6 linked regions of the Rattus norvegicus genome follow. The protein of the gene in region 2 purifies or fractionates together with the protein of the main gene of each other region. This does not show direct contact. Links are inferred from orthologs where the notes say so. Each region holds a gene or a part of one and is shown on either strand. Other genes may lie near its edges.

Region 1 (3,500 bases), on a different chromosome or scaffold from region 2:
AAATTAAAAGTGGCTCCCCTCCCCCTGCCTCCATGAGAACTGTTAACATTTGTTCAAATAATTATTTGTTTATCTTTGGGTAAGATTTTGTTTTAGCAGAATGTGCAGCTATTCTTTTTTTTCCCTTTCTTTCTTTCTTTCTTTCTTTCTTTCTTTCTTTCTTTTTTAGGGTGGGGGGTTGTTGTTGTTGTTGTTGTTGTTGTTGTTTTTCAAGACCAGCTTTCTCTGTGTAGCCTTAGCTATTCTGGAATTCAATTTATAGACTAAGCTAGCCTCTCTCTACACCTTAAGTGCTGGGATTAGAGTCATGCACCACCACTGTTGGCTTTTTTTTCTTTTTTTTCTTTTTTTTCTCTTTTTTGAGATCAGGTCTCACTATATAGCCCTGACTGGCCTGAAACTCGATGTATAGATTTGACTGGCCTTGAACTCAAAGATCTACTGATGTACCTGCTTCTAGCTCTTGAGTGTTGGCATTAAAGATGCAGCATGCCTGGCAATAGCTACAGACTGTGCTGTTGCTGATGTGCTTTGAAAGGGCTTTGAAAGTCTCAGAACAAGACTGACTCGAGACTGTTTATGTACTAACATTGGAATATTCCTTCACCAAAACAGCTTCATGGTAGAATACAAAGAACAATGGACTACTTTGTCGGGAGACCTGGGTTCTTTACTAATTACTGTCAGGAATCAACTCTGAGACCTTCACTTTAAGTTCCTTAACTACCTAAACTTTTTTTCATCTCTAAAATAAAAGACATAGAGTAGGCTTAATTAAAGACTCTTAGAGAAATTTAAGCCAGCATGTTGTCAAACAAGCTGTAGCAACCCTGTGATCAGCTAACAGGGTGGCTGGGGAAGTTACTTTGGCATTTTGTTTTAGAAGGATGAGTATTGGCTTGGTTCGTATTTCCAGGGAAGAGACAAAGAGGAGGAGTGAGGCCCATAGAGCATCTACTTTGCTAACACTATCCTGTTCATTTTTCTGTTGATGAATTGTTCAGAAAGAACTAAGATTCCCCCTTAATAGATTCAGAAATGAGGCTCACAATTATATTGTTCAGTATGATACAAGTAGTCAGTGGTGGTGTGGGAATTCACATCAGAATCATTGACTTTTAACCTTCTGTTCTTCCACAGAGCTCCACAGTCCAAATGCCTTTGTATAAAGTTGATTGACTACCTCAGTGTAACTTTACTGCTGATATTATTAAATCATTGTTTCCATTTGGCTTTTAGATCCCAATCGTAGAATCAGAAATAAAGAAAGAAGCTGGCGAGTTAAAACCAGAAGAAGAAATAACTGTTGGGCCCGTTCAGAAATTGGTTACAGAGATGGGCACCTATGCTACTCAGAGTGCACTCAGCAGCTCTAGACCTACCAAGAAAGAAGAGGACAGGTAACGCTTTTGCGCCCTGCTGGCTGAATGGCTGCACTGCCCTCTTGTGGTGAAGCAGCTGTGGTTTCTCTTACTAGTTTTTGATGCTTAAGTAAAAGTATTTACCATTTAAGGTCTTGAAATAAGGTATGTGTGTAAGGTTTCCCTGTGAATGGTCTCTGTAAATTTAGTCTTCCGTTCCTACTATTCCCATTGAAGTAAATATTCTTATAAAACTTACTTTACTCACATAGGATGTGCTGTGTATAAATTTAAGTCTGACTGCTTGTTAGTATCAGAAAGATATTTTGAAGTTTTCCCTGTTTCTTTGCTTTCTCTTTCTTTCCTTTATTATACATTTCTCCTGCACTAGCTAGCACTCAGGGCCGCTCACATGCTGGGTTAGTGCTCTGCCATTGGAGCTATGGTCTCAGTACAAACCGTCCAGCTCTGACTGATAAGTAACATTTCAGTTGTTCACCTCTTTGTTTTGCTGTCCGTGTTTATGAGACGATGATGAGAAAAAGGATGGTACAGTGTTGTTGAATGCTTCTTATGTACTAGAAGCCACACCAAATAGTTGATGTCAGTCTTGACAGCAGCCCTTTCAGAGAGTGTACTGTCTCCATTTTCAAGAGGAATTTCAGACCTAGAGAACCCTGTAAGCAACTCTGAAAGAGTACATAAGCCCACACTCAGGAGTCGCATTTTAGCTCCAGTGCATCTATCCTTAATTCAACATCCTTTTCTTTCTGTTCTTTGGACTGCTGAGTTATTTAAGAAAAGTATTAGTTACATATTCTTCTTTTTCATTTTGAAAACTAGTGAGGAATGTAACTGAGGTCCTTCTCACCAAACAGGAAATCAGTAGCTTACCTGAACCATTTATTCAAAAGCTACGTGCTACTTAAGGGTGTGTGGAGGAGAGAGGGTGTGTGGGAGGGGGAACATCCTCACAGAAGTAGGGGGAGAGGGGATGAGAGAAGAAAAACCGGGAAAGGGGATAACATTTGAAATGTAACTATCCATTTAAAAAAAAAATTGTGGTATTTCATGTTTGTTGATTCCTTTGCAGACCACCCTTGAGAGGATTCCTCCTGGATGGAGATTTCTTTGTTGCTGCCTCCCTTGCCACAACTCTGACCAAGATTGCATTACGCTATGTAGCATTGGTTCAGGAGAAGAAAAAGCAAAACGTATGTTCATTTATTCTGTATTTGTACAGTCATTGGTTACTAAATATCTACTCTATTGAACAGTGAAAAACTTCAAAGTTAATGCTACAGGTGTTAGTAGGGGAAACAGTCACAGTAGACACATAACATGACTAAAATATTGACAGAGAAACTCAGAAATACTATGATTAGTCTGATGAAGGAGGTGTGAGGAGTTATGGAGTCACTTCTGAAGGCCGGGGTTAGTCAGCCAATGGAAGCAGTGGCCTTTTCTCATTAGCATTTTTTATTGTCTATTTTATCTTTTGTACTTTATAAAGCTCATTTTCACTCAGCATGTGACAAACACTTCCTCATTTTTTTTAACCCTTCCTAGTTGTATTTGTAATATTTAATTTGTAATTTAAGCATCCAACTGTTTTTATTTTAAGAGTCCAAATTGATGTCCTCAGGATTGGTTGCATCACTTTTAAATGATAGGAGAATGTTTGTGGCTATCAGTTAAGGACCCAGGTTTCTTGCAGTGTCCAGTGAGTACCCTTAGCTCTGCTCGTACAGAGGTGGGCGCCTGTTGTTCTCCGTCTCATCAGCATGCCTCTGTCTGTGCCATTTCCCTTCTTCACCCTGTGTGGAGAGGAGTGTCCTTGGACCACAGATCGTGACGTAGGTCTGGACACAGGTCCTCACACGTAGGTTGCAAGGGTTCTACCAGTTGCGCCATCTCCCTCCACCCCTTCCACATGTTTTTGTAAAATTTGAGTTCCCGGTTGGCATTCTTTTCTCCCAGCACTGTATAGCTCCATTGTCTTCTGCCTTCCTAGTGAGAAATCTTCTATCACTCCTGCCTGCCCATGGCTGGTTTTATATTATTCTTATCATGGGTTTTAGCAGTTTAATTTGTCCATGGCTTAATGTGGTTTTCTTCATGTTTCCTCTGAGCTTTGGG
Region 2 (3,500 bases):
GGCAGCTTTTTGTTTCTTATGTGTGGTCTAGTGTCTAGTTTAAAAATAACTTATTACTGTTGTTCTCTTACAAGAGAATCAGTTAAAAATGCGTGTGTATCCTGTTACTTTATCCAACTGTATTCTATTTGGGAAAACACTCAGCAGTTATAATGGGCAGTAAAAACTTGAATGTTGGTGTTTAGAAGCTTTGGGGACTAAAGATACTTAGAAGGATAGGAGTAATGACGGTGGAGAAACAGGGGCTAGTTTTAAGTTCCTCCTCTGTGCTCTTATGTTTACCTCCAACATCTTGTTCTCAGCTTCCCTTCATTTCTAGTATCCATCTGTGTCCTTTAAAGTCTTCCTTATTACCTCTGAATTTCAAGAAGTGTTGGGGATTTAGCTCAGTGGTAAGGCACTGGGTTTGGTCCCCAGCTCTGAGAAAAAGAAAAGAAAAAAAAAAAGAAAGAAAAAGAAGTGATCTTTTGTTTCAGTAATAGCTTTTCCTTCACCTTTCATCAAAACAAAAATGTATTATTTTTTAAGTTATTTTATGTTTGTGAGTACACTGTAGCTGTCTTCAGGCACACCAGAAGAGGGCATCAAATCCCATTACAGATGGTTGTGAGCCACCATGTGGTTGCTGGGAACTGAACTCAGGACCTCTGGAAGAGCAGTCAGTGCTCTTAACTGCTGAACCATCTCTCTTGCTCCCAAAAAATATATTCTTTAAAAATCTTAACACATTGCATTTGATTAAAGTCAGTTAATAAGGGACTAGGGATTGCTTGGTTAGTGAAACGCTTGCTAGTAAACATAAGGACATAGTCTCAGAACCTACATAAAAAAAACTTGTATGGTGACATGTAATCCCAGCTCCGGGGAGGTGGGGACAGGCAGATTCCTGTAGCTCACCAGCCAGTCAGCCTAGACAATTGTCAGGCCCCAGATCCCAGTGAGAGATTGTGCTTCAAAAACAAGCTTGACCCCTATCCTCTACACACACCCCCACCTCCATGAACAGACATACTTACCCACACATCCATACAAATCATTAGAGCAGACTGCCTGATTCTAGAATGTCATGGAACAGGTTTTAGATCAAGGAGCATGTTGTACTGTTTCTTCTTCAGGGGAATTTCCTGAAGTCAAGCTAATGTTAACGTTCCTTAAGAGCCATTTTATTTAATGCTTCTCTTCTTCCCCTTTCGTGGCTTTCTTTTCCTTGTCTCTTTCAGCTCACGAATGTGTAGGTTTCTATTACTTTGCAAAGAGATGTTAAAGAAGAAAACTTCAGTTTATAGTTGCCTTAGAGTAGAGACAATGTAGACTTAAAAAGCAGCAGTATTTTCTGTGTTTGGGAAATATCTTTAGTAATTTTTGCAAGAAATTTAACTTGCATTTCTAGTGTCTAGTGATCATGCATTATATATTCTCCCATTTTAATTTAGCATATGATGAAGATAAGCTATGATGTGGTTAAACGATGGATAAATGAAGCCCAAGAAGCTGCATCAAGTGACAATATCATGGTGCAGGTACTGTCTTTGATATAATTTTATGTGTCAGGAGAAAGTATTGATTATCCAGCAGTAAAGGCTAATTTTTAACATATTAATCCACTTATAAGTATATACTATCAAGTAGGCAGCATACAAAGTTTTATTATTTCTATTGGTTTTCTGTTTGGTAGAAGATAAGTGACCTCCAGTAGGAATGTTCAAGAAAAATTCCCTTTACAGTAGTAGATAGAAATGCTTATTCCAGAGGGATTCACAGTGCATTTTGGCCTTTTATTTGAAAGATAATTTATGTAAAAGGAAACTGTTTCTTATGCCTTGTTAGTAGTGTAAAAACATCAGCCATTTTTGCTATACAAAAATATTGAAATCTTTTAGAAAGAGCTTATGATATTTATTAAGCTATTATCTAAAGGAATATTATCAAAAGTCTAACTGGTAGTTTTATGTGAAATCTCTGTCTTTGAAAAAGTATTAATGTTTATATTTTCTTACATTAGCATATTTAATAATGTGAAACAGTCACTTCCTCTTGAGACACCTATTGGTCTAAGTCTGCCAGTGTACTATCATACAAGTGTCATGGTGATGGTACTCTCCTCTCCTTTTATTAAGCTGGCGACACTTGTAGGAATGTACTTGTAGTCCCAGCACTCAGGAGCCTGAGGTGGGAGAATCACCTGAGCCCATGAGTTTGAAACATAGGAAAACCCCGTCTCTGTGGAAGTTAGATCTGAGGGTGTGAGCCATTGTTAAACCCACTAGATCTGCTTTTAGGTTGTATGCAACTCCTTTCTTACTGGCTGCTCTGAATTTACAACTTCTGGAGTACATTACACACTCTCTCTTTTTTTCTTAGTGATTCTGGTGTTTAGTTTCATATAAAAAAAGATACTGTATTTTGTCTTTTTTACTTGTATATCTTTTTTGAAAACAATCTTTTGTCTAGTTCCATGCAGTTGTCTTGCCTGTAGGTGTCTTGCTGTCTCCCTAAGCTCATGTTGCACTCTTTCTTGTTCTTAGTACCATGCATTGGGAGTGCTCTATCACCTCCGGAAGAATGATCGGCTTGCTGTCTCCAAGATGCTAAATAAGTTTACCAAGTCTGGTCTCAAATCACAGTTTGCATACTGTATGCTGATTCGGATTGCTAGTCGCTTACTGAAAGAAAGCGAGGATGGGTAAGTATCCTAAACTGAGTTGGTTGCTATTTACAAGTTAATATTTCCTTAGAATTTATTTTATTTATGAATATTTTAGGGTAGCACTGACTTTACAGATCAGTTTAATAATTTCCAAATTACAAAGAAATTGGCTTGACAGCTGAGCATGGTGGTGCCTGCTTTAATCCCAGCACTCGGGAGGCAGAGGCAGGTGGATCTCTTGAGTTTGAAGCTAACCTGGTCTATAGAATGAGTTCCAGGACAGTCAGAGCTATGCAGAAACCCTATCTCAAACAAACAAATAAAAAGAAAAAGAAATTGAGGATTCTAAGTAACACAGTATTTTTTTTTACCTTTATATATGCTCATATATGGAGTGATTACTAATAATATATTTATGAACTGATACCAGAGGTAAAATGTGTAGGTCCTAAGTTATATATAGATAATCGAATATGATAATCAGGAGGGACATTAAAAATCATCTTGTATAAGAGAAAATATTGAAATGCTAAATTGAGTAATTTGCCCAAGGGCTGGAGAGATGGCTCAGCCGTTAAAGGCTAGGCTCACAACCAAAAATATAAGAGTAATTTGCCCAAGATCACTGTGTAAGTGTGAGTTATAGGTGAACTTCCCAGCAATACCTTAGCAGTCCTAGAGGCTAGAAGGAGGCAGGAAGAGGATAGGGATCTTTCAAGGTATAATAAACTTGGAGCAAATAAGAAGCGTCCTCGCCCTAAATGGCTTATGGCTTTCCCTTTTTAATTTATAGACAGTATCTCTCCAGGTTGGCCTTTCTTGCCTCAGCCTCCCAAGTGCTGGGATTGCAGAT
Region 3 (3,500 bases), on a different chromosome or scaffold from region 2:
AAGCTGGAATTAACCCCTCCCTCTCTGAGGTTGCTTTTGGTTATGGTATTTGGAATAGCAACAGAATGCAAATTATAGAAATAGGTAAAGAAGAAAATTGTTGCATTGAGAATAGAATTAAAGTAAGTTTTATATTAATGTAACATGTAGGCTCAGTGACACTTAATATTTCTTGTTACAACATTAATTAATTGTACAACATGAGCAGTCCTGAGCTGCAAGAGTTTGGAACTGTACCAATAGTACAGTGTGAAGGAGAGACCATATTTTGCCAATTCAGAATTAGGAAAACAGCTAATGTTTTGGTTGTGAGAGTGTATTCTATACATAGAAAAGTTCGAGTACATCCTAACTATGATATTGTTTTATTTCATATAATTGGGAAAGATGGAGTATGATGCTGAACTTACCTATTTGTGTTTATACACAATTTTCTAACTGTATAATCAATAAAGACACTATGTTTTTCATTATGTGTGATAAAGATGTTTTAAAAAGCATAAAAACACTTTATCAATAGTCACTTGTTTGCCCATAAGATGTCTACTTTTGTAATTAAAATTGTAGAAATGAATAAAAGAAAAGGATTGTGCTACAAAAGCCCTACCTGTTGTAGCCTCTGCAGTTGGCATTGACTGGTTTCTGTGCCCTGTAGGCATTCTGCAGAAAGTAATGATCTGAGATGCAAGATTTGATGACTATGTTTATATTTATACATACATATAGATATATGTGAATATATTTTTATATATATTTGTCTTTCAGCTGTGGCAGAAGTAAAACTTCGGGATGACCAGTATACATTGGAACACATGCATGCTTTTGGAATGTATAATTATCTGCACTGTGATGCCTGGTACCAAGACAGTGTCTACTACATTGATAACCTTGGAAGAATTATGAACTTAACAGTGATGCTGGTAAGAGACACATGCAGAGTGTAAGGACAGAGCTCATCCTGTTTTTCTTACTCTTTAATGTCTGAATCTGATGTCCAGGTAGTCAAGGTGCACAGACCTTTGCAATGTGGAAGTCTGTCATCAAACTGTGTTAGGCTCCCTTCTGCTTACCTCAGTTATAACTTTTATCTTCTTGTTTTATTGTAATCTCCTTCACCCATCCATTTCCACTTGTATGGTATATCCTCAATATAATAATAGATTTCTTCTTTTCCATTTTAGTTGGTGTTTACACTATGTTTTTGAACTATGTTAACATTTAGGTTTGGTTATTTATGTTGATCCCTTTTATATTATGAAATATTCTTTTTTTTTCCCTTTAGGTCTTAGAAATAGTTTTGCCTTCAAATCTTGTTTGCCTTATATTAATACAGTCATAACTGATTTAAAAACTGATATCCTGGCCCAGGGAAAATTTTCAGTCAGTAATATTCCTTCTGTTTCTATGTTGTGGAATAATTTGATGAGTATTAACATTAATTGTTCTTTGAAAGCCTGTGCTAAAACCTCACCAGGATCTGAGTTCTGTATCTAGAGTCTATATTGCAAGCCCTGGTGGGGATAGCAGTCACTTGTAGTCTCAACTCTGATAAGTCAGAGATAAGCACATCCCTGGAGCTTGCAGTAGTGGACAGAGCTAGAAGAACATCACCAGAGGTTGACCTCTAGGTTCCATGTACATACAAACACGAGTACTTGTATGTGCATATGCACAGGAACACACACAAAGTGTGTGTTTTCTGTTTTTTTTTAAATATATCAGTATTATTTTACTTTAAAAGGGTTAAAGTGTATCTCATAAATAACTAGTAGTTAATTTGGATAATGGTTTGTCAATCTTATTGATTTTTCTCAAAAAAAAAACCCAACTCTTTGTTCCATTGACCCTTGGTATTGTTTTTGTTGTTGTTTGTTTTGCTTGTTGTATTTGTTTCTGTTTTTCTGAGTTCAGGAATCGATTATCAATAATAATTCTGTGATTGATTATTTCCTGCTATTAACTCCTTTTGGGTGTGATTATTTCTTCTTCTTCTTCTTCTTCTTCTTCTTCTTCTTCTTCTTCTTCTTCTTCTTCTTCTTCTTCTTCTTCTTCTTCTTCTTTTCTCCTTCTCCTTCTCCTTCTCCTTCTCCTTCCTTCTCCTTCTCCTTCCTTCTCCTTCTCCTTCTCCTTCTCCTTCTCCTTCTCCTTCTCCTTCTCCTTCTCCTTCTCCTTCTTCTTCTTCTTCTTCTTCTTTTTTTGTTACAGAGCTTTTAGGTGTGTTATTCAGTTTCTAGTATTAGATTTCTCTTTCTCTTTTTTTTTAATGTAGGCACTTAGTGCTAAGAATTTGCCTTTTAGAAATGCCTTCATTTAAATCACAAAAATCAGTAGCCTTCCTATATACAAATGATAAACAGATTAAGAAAGAAATCAGGTAAGTACCTTTTATAGTAGCCTCAAATAATATTAAATGTCCTGAGATAACTAACAAAGCATGTAAACATTTATTTGATAAAATCTTTGAGTCTTTGAAGAAAGAAATTGAAAATGATATCAAAATAGAAAGATTTCCTATGCTCATGAGTTAGTAGGATTCAAACACAATTCTTCACAGATCTTGAAAAGACAGTATTAGCTTTATATGGACACGCATACACACACACACACACACACACACACACACACACACACACACACACACACACACAAAACAAAAAACAAAAAACCCAGGATAACTAAACAATACTTAATGATAAAAGGAGTGCAGGAGGTATCATCATTCCTGATTTTAAGTTGTACTATAGAGCTATAGTAATAAAAACAGCATGGTACTGGCACAAAACAGACACCAATAGAATAGAATAGAAGACCCAGACATAAGTACATACACATATGGACACAAGGCAGCATCTTCAGTAAACCATGCTGCTCAAACTGTCTACATGTAGAAGAACCCAGATATTTATCACCCTGTACAAAACTCCAAAGACCTCAACATAAAACCAAATACATGAGATCTGATAGACGAGAAAGTTGGACAATAGCCTTGAACTCTCTGGGACAGTAAAAGACTTTTTGAACAGGACACAGTTAACACAGGCACTAATATCAACAATTAATATATGGGACCTCATGAAATTGAAGTTTCTGCACTATAAAGGACATTGTCCCTTGGAACAAAATGGCAGTGTATACAATGGGAAAAGATTTCTGCCGACTACACATCTGATATAGGGCTGTGATAGATAGTTTTATGTCAACTTGACAACAAGCTAAAGTCATCAGAGAGGAAACCGCAATTTAAAAAAGGCTCCATTAATCAAACTGTAGCAAGCCTGTAGTTAGTTAGTTAGTTAGTTAGTTTTCTTAGTTACTGATTGGAGATGGTTCAGCCCATTGTATGTGTTGCCATCCCTGGGTGGGAAGTTCTAAATTCTATAGGAAATCAGAATGAGCAGGCAAGTAAGAACTCCTTTGGCCTCTTCCCACCAGGTTCCTGCTCTGCTTGAGTTCCTGAATTCCTTTGATGATAAAATGTAATGTGAAGACATAAGCCAAAT
Region 4 (3,500 bases), on a different chromosome or scaffold from region 2:
TCCCCTAATTGGTACCTAAAATGTAATAGATTTAGAGAGCCAGATGGTGATACACACCTTTAATCCCTTTGCCTGGGAGGAGAAATGCATACACAATATGCACATACATACATACATACATACATACATACATACATACATACATACTTGCATACCTGTGATAGGCTCAATGCAAGATAAGCAAGGGTCTTCCATTAAAATCTCAACAAAAGCCTAAATTTTGACTATTTTCTTTCTAGTTGAGAAACTCAGATCTAGGCGAATATTTTGTTTGCTTATTTTTAAGTACAGGGGATTGAATTTAGGGCCTTGTTCATGCAAGGCTTTCATTTTAACTTGTTCATTTTTGTAATTTTGAGGGTCTCACTGAGTCTGGTGAGAAACTGCCTAGACTAGGAATGAACTCACTCTGCAGCCAAGACAGGGCTCAGCCTCCCAAGTGGCTGAGATTACAGGCCTGCGCTATGAGACCCAGCCTTTTAGGATTGCCTTTCTTTTCTTCTTATCTTATGTACATTGGTATTTTCCTTGCACGTATGTCTGTGTAAGGATATTGCATCTGTAGCTGGAGTTACAGATAGTTGTGAGCTGCCATGTGGGTGCTGGGATTTAAACCTGGGTCTTCTGGAAGAACAGCCAGTGCTCTCAGCAGTTGAGCCATTTCTCTAGCGCCTTCCCCTTTTAAGGTTTTATTTACTTATGTAATGTATATGAATATACTATAGCTGTCTTCAGAAACACCAGAAGAGGACATCTGACCTCATTACAGATAGTTGTGAGCCACCACATGGTTGTTAGGAATTGAACTCAGGAACTCTGGAAGAGAAGTCAGTGCTCTTAACTGCTGAACCTTTTCTCCAGATTCTCTCCCCACCCCACCCCCTCTCTCTAAAGGAGAGAGGTTAGAGGTCAATGAGATGTCTTAGTGGATAAGAACCCTTATCACCAAAGTAGATGACCTAAATTCAGTCCTTAGGTCCCATGTGTAAGAGGAGAGAACTGAGTTCTTCTATTTGTCCTCTGACCCACACACTTGGGCACCATGACATATAATATATGTACCCACACATTCTCGAGCGCACGCAGAAACACACACACAGACACACACACACACACAAATGAATGAATGAATGAATACTGTGAGGCCCTGGAGAGAGTATTAGTAGTCAACCTGATGTATAAATGACTTGGATAAGGGACAAACTTCTTTACTAAAGGAGCAATTGCTGGGGGACATCATTAGTGGTTACCTTATCTATTTACTTCTCATGACTCCACCCATATTCATTTCAGCTTCTGATTAAAAACCTGAAAAATGAGATCACCAAGAAAATCCAGGTGCCCAACTGTGATGAAATCTTCTATGCTGGTACAGGCAACCTCCTGCTTCGGGATGCAGATTCCATCACACTCTTTGATGTCCAGCAGAAGCGGTAACATGGCAGACAAACTTGTAATGAGGGAGAGTGGGGGTCTTTTTTTTTTTTTTTAAAGGTTTATTTATTTATCATATACAAGTACACTGTAGCTGTCCTCAGACACCAGAGGAGGGCATCGGACCCCATCACAGATGGCCGTGAACCACCATGTGGTTGCTGGGAATTGAACTCATGACCTCTGGGAGAGCAGTTGGTGCTCCCAACCACTGAGCCATCTCTCCAGCCCGAGAGTGGGGGTCTTTAATAGGGGGGTTTTCTAATCTTGCCACATGGCCTCGCTGCTGCTTACACACTCGACTGCGAGGCTGTTTGCGATCCTTTTCCCTTTCCCTGTCTATCCTGCCCCCGAGTGCATGCGTTCTAGCAGCGTGGCCAGGGCTACCAGACATTGAGCTATCTTTAAAGAATGGGTTTGGGTCTGGGGATGGGAAGAACACAAAGTTGAATAGCACAGTTCCTGTTCTTAAAGAACTTAGTAAGTCCAGTGGTGAAAATTGATAGAGACAAAGGCCTAATATAGGAGGGAACGGGGCGGCAGAGAGGGAGGAAGAGGAAGTGCAGAGTGTGAACCAAAGCATTTAGCTTACTGACCTACAGCGTAGGCAGTGTTTCTCTGATATTACATTGAGAAGTTGAGTTCTGCATTAATTAAAGATGGAAACGGCATAGGTCATAGCTTGAGACAACACAATTAGGCCCATTCATGATTCCCTTTCTCTTGCTATCCCAGAACTCTGGCATCAGTGAAGATTTCCAAGGTGAAATATGTTATCTGGTCGGCAGACATGTCTCATGTTGCACTCCTGGCCAAGCATGGTAAGGCTTCATTATATCCACCGTCTTAGAGGCCACTTCCTCCCTGCCAGTTTACTGCACTCACCCTGTCCAACAGAGCACTCATGCCCTTTGCCTCTTACAGCCATTGTGATCTGTAACCGCAAGCTGGATGCTCTGTGTAACATTCATGAGAACATTCGTGTCAAGAGTGGGGCCTGGGATGAAAGTGGGGTGTTTATCTATACCACAAGCAACCACATCAAATATGCTGTCACCACTGGGTAAGTTAATTATCTGGGACAAGTGGGAGAAGGTGGCTTCCTGCGATCACTGTGCTAACTCAAGAGATTTAACCGCAGTTCTCCGTTAACTTTCTTCATAAAAGAGCCAACAGGGCATATATGTACTATAGGGCTCTCTCTCTCTCTCTCTCTCTCTCTCTCTCTCTCTCTCTCTCTCTCTCTCTCTGTCTCTCTGTGCTGACTCAGTGACTCAGGCAGTTTCTCTAAGGTCAGACAACCTGAATTCAATCCCCAGGTTCCTCAAATGGCAGGAGAGAACCAGGTCCTGAGAGTTTTCCTGTAGCCCCCACACACACCTGCATTGTGTACACACATAAAATAAAAAAATTTCAAAATTTAGGGAAACATTGTAAAGGACTGGGGAGGGGCCAGTGAGATAGCTCAGCAGGTTAAAAACAAGGCGTGAGTTTGACCCCAGAGTCCTTATATGGTGGGCGGAGAGAGCTGAGTGCCAAGAGCTGTCCTCTGACCGCCACAGATCACTGCAGCATGCACATCTATACTGCATAATGAATGCTCACATACATAATTATGAGTTTTTTATTTTTGAAGGGAGGCTAGTCATTGGTAGCATGCTTTCCTAGAATGCCCAAGGCTCTAGACTCAATAACTCAAACTGCAAAAAAAATAAAAGGTTCATAGCATATGTTCTGTCATAGAAAAGAATTAAATCGTTTTGAAACACTTTTTGTCTGTATCAGTGTGTAAGTAGCACTTGATGAAAGGAAAATGAGAAAATACTATTTCAACTTTATTCATTTTTACAAGCTGGATTTTCTCCCTTCTGAAAATTGTGCCTTTTATCCCCTCTTCCTAGGGACCATGGGATCATCCGAACTCTGGATTTGCCCATCTATGTCACAAGAGTGAAGGGCAATAACGTATACTGCCTGGACAGGGAGTGTCGTCCTCGGGTGCTCACCATTGACCCCACCGAATTCAAGTTCAAACTGGCCCTGATCAACAGGAAGTATGATGAGGT
Region 5 (4,072 bases), on a different chromosome or scaffold from region 2:
GTGGATAGTGGCTTTGGCTTTTACTCGGGGCAGGAACGGAGGCACGGGGAAATCAAACTTCAACAAAATCTTACCATTAAAAAAAATTTTATTTATTTATCATGTTGATAAATCTCCCTATTATGTAAACCTGGAAATTTCAATCTCTCCTCTCTCTCTCTCTCTCTCTCTCTCTCTCTCTCTCTCTCTCTCTCTCTCTCTCTCCCTCCTCCTCCTCCCCCTCCTCCTCCTCCTCCTCCTCGTCCCCCACCCCCCTGCCCCACGTGATGAGAATTGAACTCAGGTCCTCTGGAAGCGCAGCGAATGCTCTTAACCGCGGTCTTACTGTGTAGTCCTGTTTGGCCTAGAACTCTGTATGTAGACCAGGCTGGCCTCAAACTCAGATCTGCCTCCCTAGTCCTGGGATTAAAGGTGACACCACCATTCCCAGCTACAAACCTACCTTATCCACTCAGAATGTACCATTCTCATCCCTTTCTGCCTTGGTCCTTATTCTTTCATTCTCTCTTGTCTCCAATGCCCTAATATCTTATTTCCTGTTGAACCAAAGGGAATGGGGGTGGGGGGAACGTTGTCCATCAAAGTGCAGGTCTCCTGCATCGACTCCCAGACCGAAAGTGGGAGGCAGATTGTCTGGAGCTGAGCAACGGAATGTGGGAGCTGGGAACTGAACTCAGGTTTTCCACAAGAAGAGCATGAGCTCTTAAATTTAAAATATTTATTGGGTATGTGTACGTGACACGTGCACATCCTGGGATATACTTCTCCAGACTTTGGTTTGTGTAGGCAACGCTTGACTGTCCATAGCTAACTTGGTGAACTCTCAATGTTGTTGAAATGACCCAAGGACACTACAGCTGCGGATAACCCGCAGGACCTAATGGTGGCGCTGGGAATCTGGATTCAGGTAGGGCTTTTCAGCAAGGCTAATGCTAAGGGTTAGAGACACATAGCACCCCCTACAGCGAGTGCGAATAAGAGGCTGACAGAATCACGTGGCTTCCTCCTACCAATAGCAAAGTAACAATCGCTTCCTCTGTTCCCCATGGAAACAACACCGCCCTCAATGATCCTCCCGCCCCTTCAGCGCTTGAGGTTTTGGTCTTTCATTGAAAATTCCGGATGACAATCAAACATCCGCTTCTTCTGGCTGGACAGTTGGCGTCCGTGAAGCGAGTGACTACGCTGACTGGTCCAGATGCGAAGGCTGGCTTATTTTCACCCAATGTTGCTTCTTTGGGGCGGGATCTAGCGAAGACTCAGGGCCAATCAGCGGCGACGTCGCTTGTGCGACTCCACGTCGGCAGCAGCTACGGGCAAGATGGAGGCGCTGATTTTGGTAGGAGCTGGAGGGCCGGTGGCTCCGCCGTGGTGTCCAGGGGGTCCGGGAGGTGGGGTTCATCAACTGGGGCGGGGAGAGGGTTCTGGGCAGGCCTCGGGGCCGAAGCTCCCGCTGTCTGAGCAATGCAAGTGTGGCCTACATGGGAGCCAGAGCCGCGGTTTAGAGTAGGAAGCCTGACCGGGAAGAGGCAAGAGCCGGTGGCAAAGTTGAAGAGAACATGCAGGGACCTTAGGAGAATTCTGAATGCACTGGATCGGGGCCTGGGGGGCGGGGGAGTTCAAGTTCTCCCTGATGGTTAGCATTGTGGATCATACCTACTTGAGTTTCCCCAAACCTCCATATTTCCCCCCAAGTTGCAACGGCAGAATAGAGGTGTTTTGTCAGCCCCAGATTCTCCTGATGGTGGTCAGAATTCGACTACGTATTGGCAGTTCCATGTCCTGTTCCTTCACAAAACTTGTTTTCGTTTTCCTGTTAATCTTTAGTATTTAATCCCGTCATGATTGAGAGTCGGTCAGCATTCCATCCAGGTTCAGGAGTACTTGGTAGAGCTAGTCTAGATTTTGGAATATTTTTTTTTCTGACTCCTTATTCTGCTGTCCTATTCCCTCCTCCTTTAGACTTTAGGAACTCATACTGTAGGACCCCTTGTCTGTCTTCCCCTGCTTGGTTACATGAGAACTGAGGTGACTGATACCAGCAGTGCATTAGCTCTCTTCTCCCCTGATCCTTCTGCTTGTTCAAATAAAACACTGCCTCTTTTTTTTTTTTTTTTTTTTTTTTTGGTTCTTTTTTTCGGAGCTGGGGACCGAACCCAGGGCCTTGCGCTTCCTAGGTAAGCGCTCTACCACTGAGCTAAATCCCCAGCCAGAGCATTTCCGCCTGTCAAGGCACTGGCTGGCAGTTTGGAGGCCTACCTGTGTCTGAATGTTAGTATAGGAATTTAACTTTCAGCTTCTTCCTTTCAGTTGTATTCCAGGACTGTTTCCAAGAGTCTTCCTTAGCTTCTGTTTTCCTTTCTATTCCTTGTAAGTGTACATGTCAAACTCTTTGTCAGTAAAAGAAAAAAAAAAAACCAACAACCAAGTTTTTCCTTCTCTTTTTTAGAGGAAAAAAGTTTTTTGAGACAGGGTCCCTCTCTCCCTCTCCACCTCCCTTTCCCTTTTCTGGTGCCCTGGCTACTCATTATGAAACCAGGTTGGCCTCAAACTCACAGAGATCCACCTGCCTCTACCTCCCAAGTGCTGAGACTAGAGGTATGTGACACCACTCCAGCTCGTTTTAGTTTTTTGACTGAAGGTTTCATAAGGTCTGACTGGAATCAACTTTGCCATGTAGCCAAGGACAGACCTCCTCCATTCTCACCTGGTGTTTATGTGGGAATTTGAACTTTGGTTTTCTTATTTGTATGACAAGCACTTTTAACCACTGGCCTATCTGTCCAAACCTTCTTTCTTTCAAATGTCAAAGAGAATTTATTCTCATCATGTGAGTTGGATAAGTTGAAGCAAAATGTCTTGAGTAGTTCAAGTATTTACTGTATTTTTACTGTTTTTTAAAATCTTGTGACAGATGTGGGTAGAGTTTGTAAAATTGGTTTTCTTGGATGTTTTTAGCCTTTTTAGTCAGGTGTGGTGGCTCACATATGTAACCCCAGCACTCAGGTTGAGGCCATATTGTTGCTAGTTTGAGGCCAGCCTGGGTTACAAAATAAGACCTTGTCTCATAAAACCAAAATTAATGTAATTTAGTTGAACCAGCTTAAAGAGTGAGGAAGGTGATACTTGGGGAGCTCCTTTACCGTTGGTTCTGTTGGGCTGGGTGTAATGCTATGCCAAGAGCACATGGTCTAGCTGACTTTAAAGGCCCTGTGTTCGGCCCCTAGCCCTGGGAGAGCTGAAGTTGTATGGGGTAATCTCTGTGTCATTTTCTCTCCCTTTTCTGTCTCTTCTTGCACTGGGTAGTCTGTCTCACCCTGCCTCTTCCTCATTCTTACCTTTCGGCTGAGCTCACCAGCTGCATGTAGTAACAGACCCTTGCTGGAAACCCCATACTTTTACTTTAAAAACTGTACCAGGTCTTTGTCACAAGCACCTTATGTGTTGGGTTTAGGGATGCAGAGCTGTAGGAAAAGACTCTTCCTAAGGAAGGGCAGTGCCAAAACTCCATTCCATTTTACTTTCCTTGTTCTCTCAGAACAAATCTTTTTTTTTTTTTTCTTTTTTCTTTTTGATACAGTCTCATTATGTAGCCTGGACTGGGCCTGAATTTGTCACTTCCCGGCCTCACTAGGTTTCTGAAGTTTCTGTAGGTTCTTACACCTCTTTAGTTTGCAGGATTTTCCTTTCAGCCATGGGTTGTATAAAGTTTTTGTTGATAAAATACTTACAGGAATCTATAGATTGTGGCTCCCACCTTTAATCTCAGTACTTGGCAGGCACAGGCTGGAGGATGTCTGAGAGTCTGAAGCCAGCCTGGTCTACTTAGTGAGTTCCCAGACAGTCAAAACTATGTAGAGAGAGCCTATCTATAAATAAATAAATAAATAAATAAATAAATAAATAAATAAATAAATCCCAAACCTACAGGTATTAGTTTTTGTGCTGATTTTTAGAGTTCTTGAGGATTAAACTAGTGTCTTTTTCTTTTCTACTTCTGTGTTCTTTCCAACTTTATTTATTTATTCATTCATTCATTTATTTTTGAGACTGGGTCTCATTATGTAGTCCT
Region 6 (4,001 bases), on a different chromosome or scaffold from region 2:
CTCCACTATTCTACCACACTAGATTATAGTTCACGTTTAAAACATTTTCAACTGAGCTTTGCAATTGGTTACTGCACGGTGTGCAATTATGTGATTATTCATCTCACTCACGTAAAATCTCATTACTGAGAGAAAATTTGTTTTTACTGAGACAAAAGAGTAAAGGTGGATCTTTGGAAACTACCCAACTTTTTGTACATGAAAATCGAGGCGCATAAATCTCCCAAGAGCCAGGAACTAATGAAAACACCTCCTTTCTGGAAACCTAGGCTTTTCTCCACCAGAGGTTTATAAGCAGCAAAGGGCAAGTTCCATTGTTTCATAGCATTTGCTTTTTAAAAGGTGTGTGTGTGTGTGTGTGTGTGTGTGTGTGTGTGTGTGTGTGTGTGTGTGGAAATCGGTACACAGTGCATTTGCACTTTTCCTGGCGATTCTTAGGGCGTGATATTTTCTGAAATTGAACTTATTAAAGAGCTGCTTTGGCGTAACAGATAGAGCACGGGGCTCCCAGGGCTTATCCCCCTGAGTCCAGATTCTAACAACACTGCTTACTATGTCATCTTGGCCAGTAAACCCAAGTTCCTTGAGCCTTACTTTCCTAATCAATAAAATGGAAACGACTCCTGTGTGGTGTTGGCTATACATTCAGCTGTAACCACACAAACGACCAGGAGGATGCTTTTTGAAGGGCAATCACTCGACTGACTCCGGGAGGATCCAGAACCAAGATCTCAGGACTCCTCGGAGCTTCAAAGGCGGGAGACGTGCCTACATCTCTTCCGCCTCGGTCGGTATCACCCAAACCAGACACCGCTCTGGGCCCCGTTCCGGAGCCCGCTGGAGTACACTGTTTCAGAGCCTTCTTTTCTCCGCCAGAGGCTCATGTTGTTCGGATAGGGCTTCCGGGCCCCATCGCTGTTGCCGGCGTTAAGCAGGAATTCAGCACCGTGCTCCATCTTCTTAGCTTTCTGAACCTGCTAGCAGGTAAACTGCCCGATGGCCGCTGGTCACCGCCCTATCCTAACCTCAGCAATACACGGAACAGCCAACTCAACAGCTCCGCAGCAGAAGACGCGGAAGGCCGCGTTACCTAGGAAACTGGGGCGGGACTACGCGCAGATTGCCTTACGGAGAATTTGCGCAGGCGCAGAGCCTGGTTCCGAGTGTCGCGAGAGCCGCTTCCCGGAAGTTCCACGTCAGTGGGTCCACTGCTCCGTGGGTCTGTGTGTTCTTGAGTACCAGTGTCGCTCGGAGCCTGTGAGAGGCTGGGGCTCGGACAATCGGAGCCATGGTAGGTCGAGCCTCAAAGGACAGAGAGTGGAGCCTACCGGCTACGGGGTTCCCGGGGCCTCCGGGCTAGGGGCCGTAGTTAGAAGCGGTCTGCGCTGCTGCGGCCTGGCGGGGTCCTCCTGTCCCGTTGGGAGTCCTGGGAGGAAGAAGGCCAGACTGGGAGGCTGCCGTGGTTACACGGTAGTGTAGGGGGGTGTCTGCGAGTTAGCTGCCGCCGACTCTCCTGGCAGTCAGGGCTCCTGTCAGTGCACCTGCAGTCTGCAGTGGGTCCAGTAGTGCAAGTAAATGCTAGAGGTAGGAGTCGGGCGACAAAGGCTACTTTGACAAAGTCACTTCATTCTGTCATTGAAGTGATGTTTGCTAATCCAGGTTGCGCGCGGTGTTTGATAGTGTGCACACACCAAATTGCAAACTTAAGCAGAGGGGGGAAAAAGTTAAATGTATGTGGAATCAGAGGCGGAATTTCAAATGCTTTGGCGGCCCAGTTCGGCGTTTTCTAGCTGGTGTTGATTGGGCCTTCTAGGCTCACAGAGGATGGTATTTTGGGGAAAGGCCCTTAGATCTGCCTCATTTCATTTTGAGACATATTTTTAATAGTGAAACCTTGCTTTCATTCTTCAAGGTATGTGAGTCCCATACCCACAAATTGAACCAGCTTTTGGTGGAAGACATTTGGGGAAAACTATTGTGTGAACATGTGCTGTTATTTTTTTCTCCTTGTGATAATATACAACAACTCTTTACAACTTTGACCCTGTATTGGTGTTGTAACTAATGTAGAGATGACCAGGAGTCATGGGTAGATTATAAGCACTAAAATAACTGAACTTGAGGGTTTTGGTTTGGTGGAGGGTACTGGAACCATGTGCAGGCACCAAAGGATGACTGTATTTTAAGTCTCCGGTAAAAAGTACAAAACACGAATTTATTTATTTGCTCACTCACCATAGGAGAACTCACTCTCCTGTATTTTGCTAAACATTTACCAGCTGATTGTCACAGCAGCCTGTAGATAATTATGAGTAATGTTTATGGTGGTTCCTGTAAGCCTTGCTCTGGTCTGCTCTAACTGAACTCTGATTTTAAATCTCGGAATGCTAAGAGAGATATTATTATCCCCATTTATACAAGCCAAACCTGGGAGGCTAATTAAGCTTAATACTGTATGTCTGACTTGAGAGCTGCAGATGAGGCTTGAATGTAGTGTGGATCTCAGTTATACTACCTGCTCCTCCCCTGCTCCCAAGTAAATACGGTGTGGAGAGAAGGACCTGGATAAGCATTGAGGCAGGCCCTTAAGAAATAATCCACTCCACAAGCAAGAAGAGCTGTGCATGTGGATGTACTATAAACGGGGGGGGGGGGGGGGGGGGGGGGGAATCCTCTGGCTAGGCCAATCAGAGAGGGCGTAGTGGTGGCAGCAACATTTAAACTAAGTCTGGAGTTGAGGATGCAGTGTGAGTAGGTTAATCATCTAAGACCTGGTATGATGTCTTTTTTTTTTTTTTTTTTAATCATGACTGAGATGGTAAGTATGACTCCAGGAGCTCTTGCCTGCAGTAATGGACATTTTAAAATGGGTGTCTTTGCTTGGAGTATGTGCAGCTAGACTAGATAGTTCAGAGATCCCTGGCCATTTTGAAAAATCAATTTAAAAACATTGTTAGGATTTATCCTCACAATCCTATTTCACACACACACACACACACACACACACACACACACACACACATACTTACTTGGATATGTGGCTTATGTTATGTTGAAGACCCACTATGGCTCCTGGCATAATATACTTCCTGCTTGTTGTTGGCTCAAAGAAGTAGTTAAAATCCATGTCAGTAGTCAGTGGGGCAAAAATTCAGAAATCATTGAAAAGGTTTGTTTTCCTGAAATTAGCATGTGATTTGAAGATAGTGGCTTGAGTATATAAGAGATAGGCAGGACCACACAGCAGTGGAGGAGTTCTCAAGAAAGCTGAAGAGAGAAAACACCGTCCTAATGTTGTTTTTGAAAGTGAGGGAGGCAAACATGGAAGAAGTTAGAAGTAGACAAAGAAGTTAGAAGTAGACAAAGACACAAAAAGAGGTGAATAAACGCCTTGTTAGGTGTTTGTTTCAGGATATTATCTCTGCCAGATCCTCAATTTGTGCTTAGAAGCAACCTTAGATTTCTGTTGAATTCATGATTGTTACAGAACAGCACAAGACACTAGCACAGAGACTCATCTGGCCAGTAAGCTTTCAGGCTGTGCATTAGGCTTATTGAAGGGGACATGCATTTGACCTGCGCGGATAAGAGAGAGTGCTCCAGGGCATCTTTGAACGAATTAACTTTTCTTCTGTGGTGGCATCCCTAGGAGAAACGGAACACAGTCACTCAAATCAGTTTCTGGTCTGCGGTTCAGAGAAGGAGTCTAACTGGAAAGGGGCAGTTTTAAACTGTTACTATTTAATGGCTTAATTTGTTTAAAATTGTTCTACTTTTCAGTATGTTTCTATACATTCAAAAGACCTTTATGAACATGAGTAAACCCTTATTGATCAGGCATTACTACTTGTCTACAGTTTAAATGTCCTCCCCATCTGATTATTTTTAAAGAGCTCATTTAATATTATGGTTTAGGATTAGTACAGTTTCATGAATGACATTTTCTGGTACAGCACTCATGCATGGACATGAAATTGTGACGTAGTTGATGTTTTGAATTT

What was found.
Region 1: the proteins of Copg2 (region 2) and Copb1 purify together in Homo sapiens (affinity purification with western blotting; 4 studies listed by BioGRID and IntAct, with this or other methods). This does not show direct contact. The link is inferred for Rattus norvegicus from reciprocal best matches to the Homo sapiens genes COPG2 and COPB1.
Region 3: the proteins of Copg2 (region 2) and Nudcd1 purify together in Homo sapiens (co-immunoprecipitation; 3 studies listed by BioGRID and IntAct, with this or other methods). This does not show direct contact. The link is inferred for Rattus norvegicus from reciprocal best matches to the Homo sapiens genes COPG2 and NUDCD1.
Region 4: the proteins of Copg2 (region 2) and Copa fractionate together in Homo sapiens (co-fractionation; 4 studies listed by BioGRID and IntAct, with this or other methods). This does not show direct contact. The link is inferred for Rattus norvegicus from reciprocal best matches to the Homo sapiens genes COPG2 and COPA.
Region 5: the proteins of Copg2 (region 2) and Copz1 fractionate together in Homo sapiens (co-fractionation; 5 studies listed by BioGRID and IntAct, with this or other methods). This does not show direct contact. The link is inferred for Rattus norvegicus from reciprocal best matches to the Homo sapiens genes COPG2 and COPZ1.
Region 6: the proteins of Copg2 (region 2) and Copb2 fractionate together in Homo sapiens (co-fractionation; 4 studies listed by BioGRID and IntAct, with this or other methods). This does not show direct contact. The link is inferred for Rattus norvegicus from reciprocal best matches to the Homo sapiens genes COPG2 and COPB2.

The regions. Positions count from the first base shown.
Region 1 is NC_086019.1:177,848,841-177,852,340, reverse strand, and holds part of Copb1 (coatomer subunit beta), read left to right. Parts: intron 1-1,239; coding exon 1,240-1,400; intron 1,401-2,454; coding exon 2,455-2,575; intron 2,576-3,500. UniProt on the Homo sapiens protein: The coatomer is a cytosolic protein complex that binds to dilysine motifs and reversibly associates with Golgi non-clathrin-coated vesicles, which further mediate biosynthetic protein transport from the ER, via the Golgi up to the trans Golgi network.
Region 2 is NC_086022.1:60,413,454-60,416,953, reverse strand, and holds part of Copg2 (coatomer subunit gamma-2), read left to right. Parts: intron 1-1,433; coding exon 1,434-1,520; intron 1,521-2,525; coding exon 2,526-2,683; intron 2,684-3,500. UniProt on the Homo sapiens protein: The coatomer is a cytosolic protein complex that binds to dilysine motifs and reversibly associates with Golgi non-clathrin-coated vesicles, which further mediate biosynthetic protein transport from the ER, via the Golgi up to the trans Golgi network.
Region 3 is NC_086025.1:77,470,576-77,474,075, reverse strand, and holds part of Nudcd1 (nudC domain-containing protein 1), read left to right. Parts: intron 1-765; coding exon 766-920; intron 921-3,500.
Region 4 is NC_086031.1:87,106,368-87,109,867, forward strand, and holds part of Copa (coatomer subunit alpha), read left to right. Parts: intron 1-1,293; coding exon 1,294-1,433; intron 1,434-2,169; coding exon 2,170-2,255; intron 2,256-2,331; coding exon of another isoform or gene 2,332-2,358; coding exon 2,359-2,497; intron 2,498-3,335; coding exon 3,336-3,498; intron 3,499-3,500. UniProt on the Homo sapiens protein: The coatomer is a cytosolic protein complex that binds to dilysine motifs and reversibly associates with Golgi non-clathrin-coated vesicles, which further mediate biosynthetic protein transport from the ER, via the Golgi up to the trans Golgi network.
Region 5 is NC_086025.1:136,286,985-136,291,056, forward strand, and holds the start of Copz1 (coatomer subunit zeta-1), read left to right. Parts: upstream 1-1,272; 5' UTR 1,273-1,321; coding exon 1,322-1,339; intron 1,340-4,072. UniProt on the Homo sapiens protein: The coatomer is a cytosolic protein complex that binds to dilysine motifs and reversibly associates with Golgi non-clathrin-coated vesicles, which further mediate biosynthetic protein transport from the ER, via the Golgi up to the trans Golgi network.
Region 6 is NC_086026.1:108,039,486-108,043,486, forward strand, and holds the start of Copb2 (coatomer subunit beta'), read left to right. Parts: upstream 1-1,201; 5' UTR 1,202-1,288; coding exon 1,289-1,291; intron 1,292-4,001. UniProt on the Homo sapiens protein: The coatomer is a cytosolic protein complex that binds to dilysine motifs and reversibly associates with Golgi non-clathrin-coated vesicles, which further mediate biosynthetic protein transport from the ER, via the Golgi up to the trans Golgi network.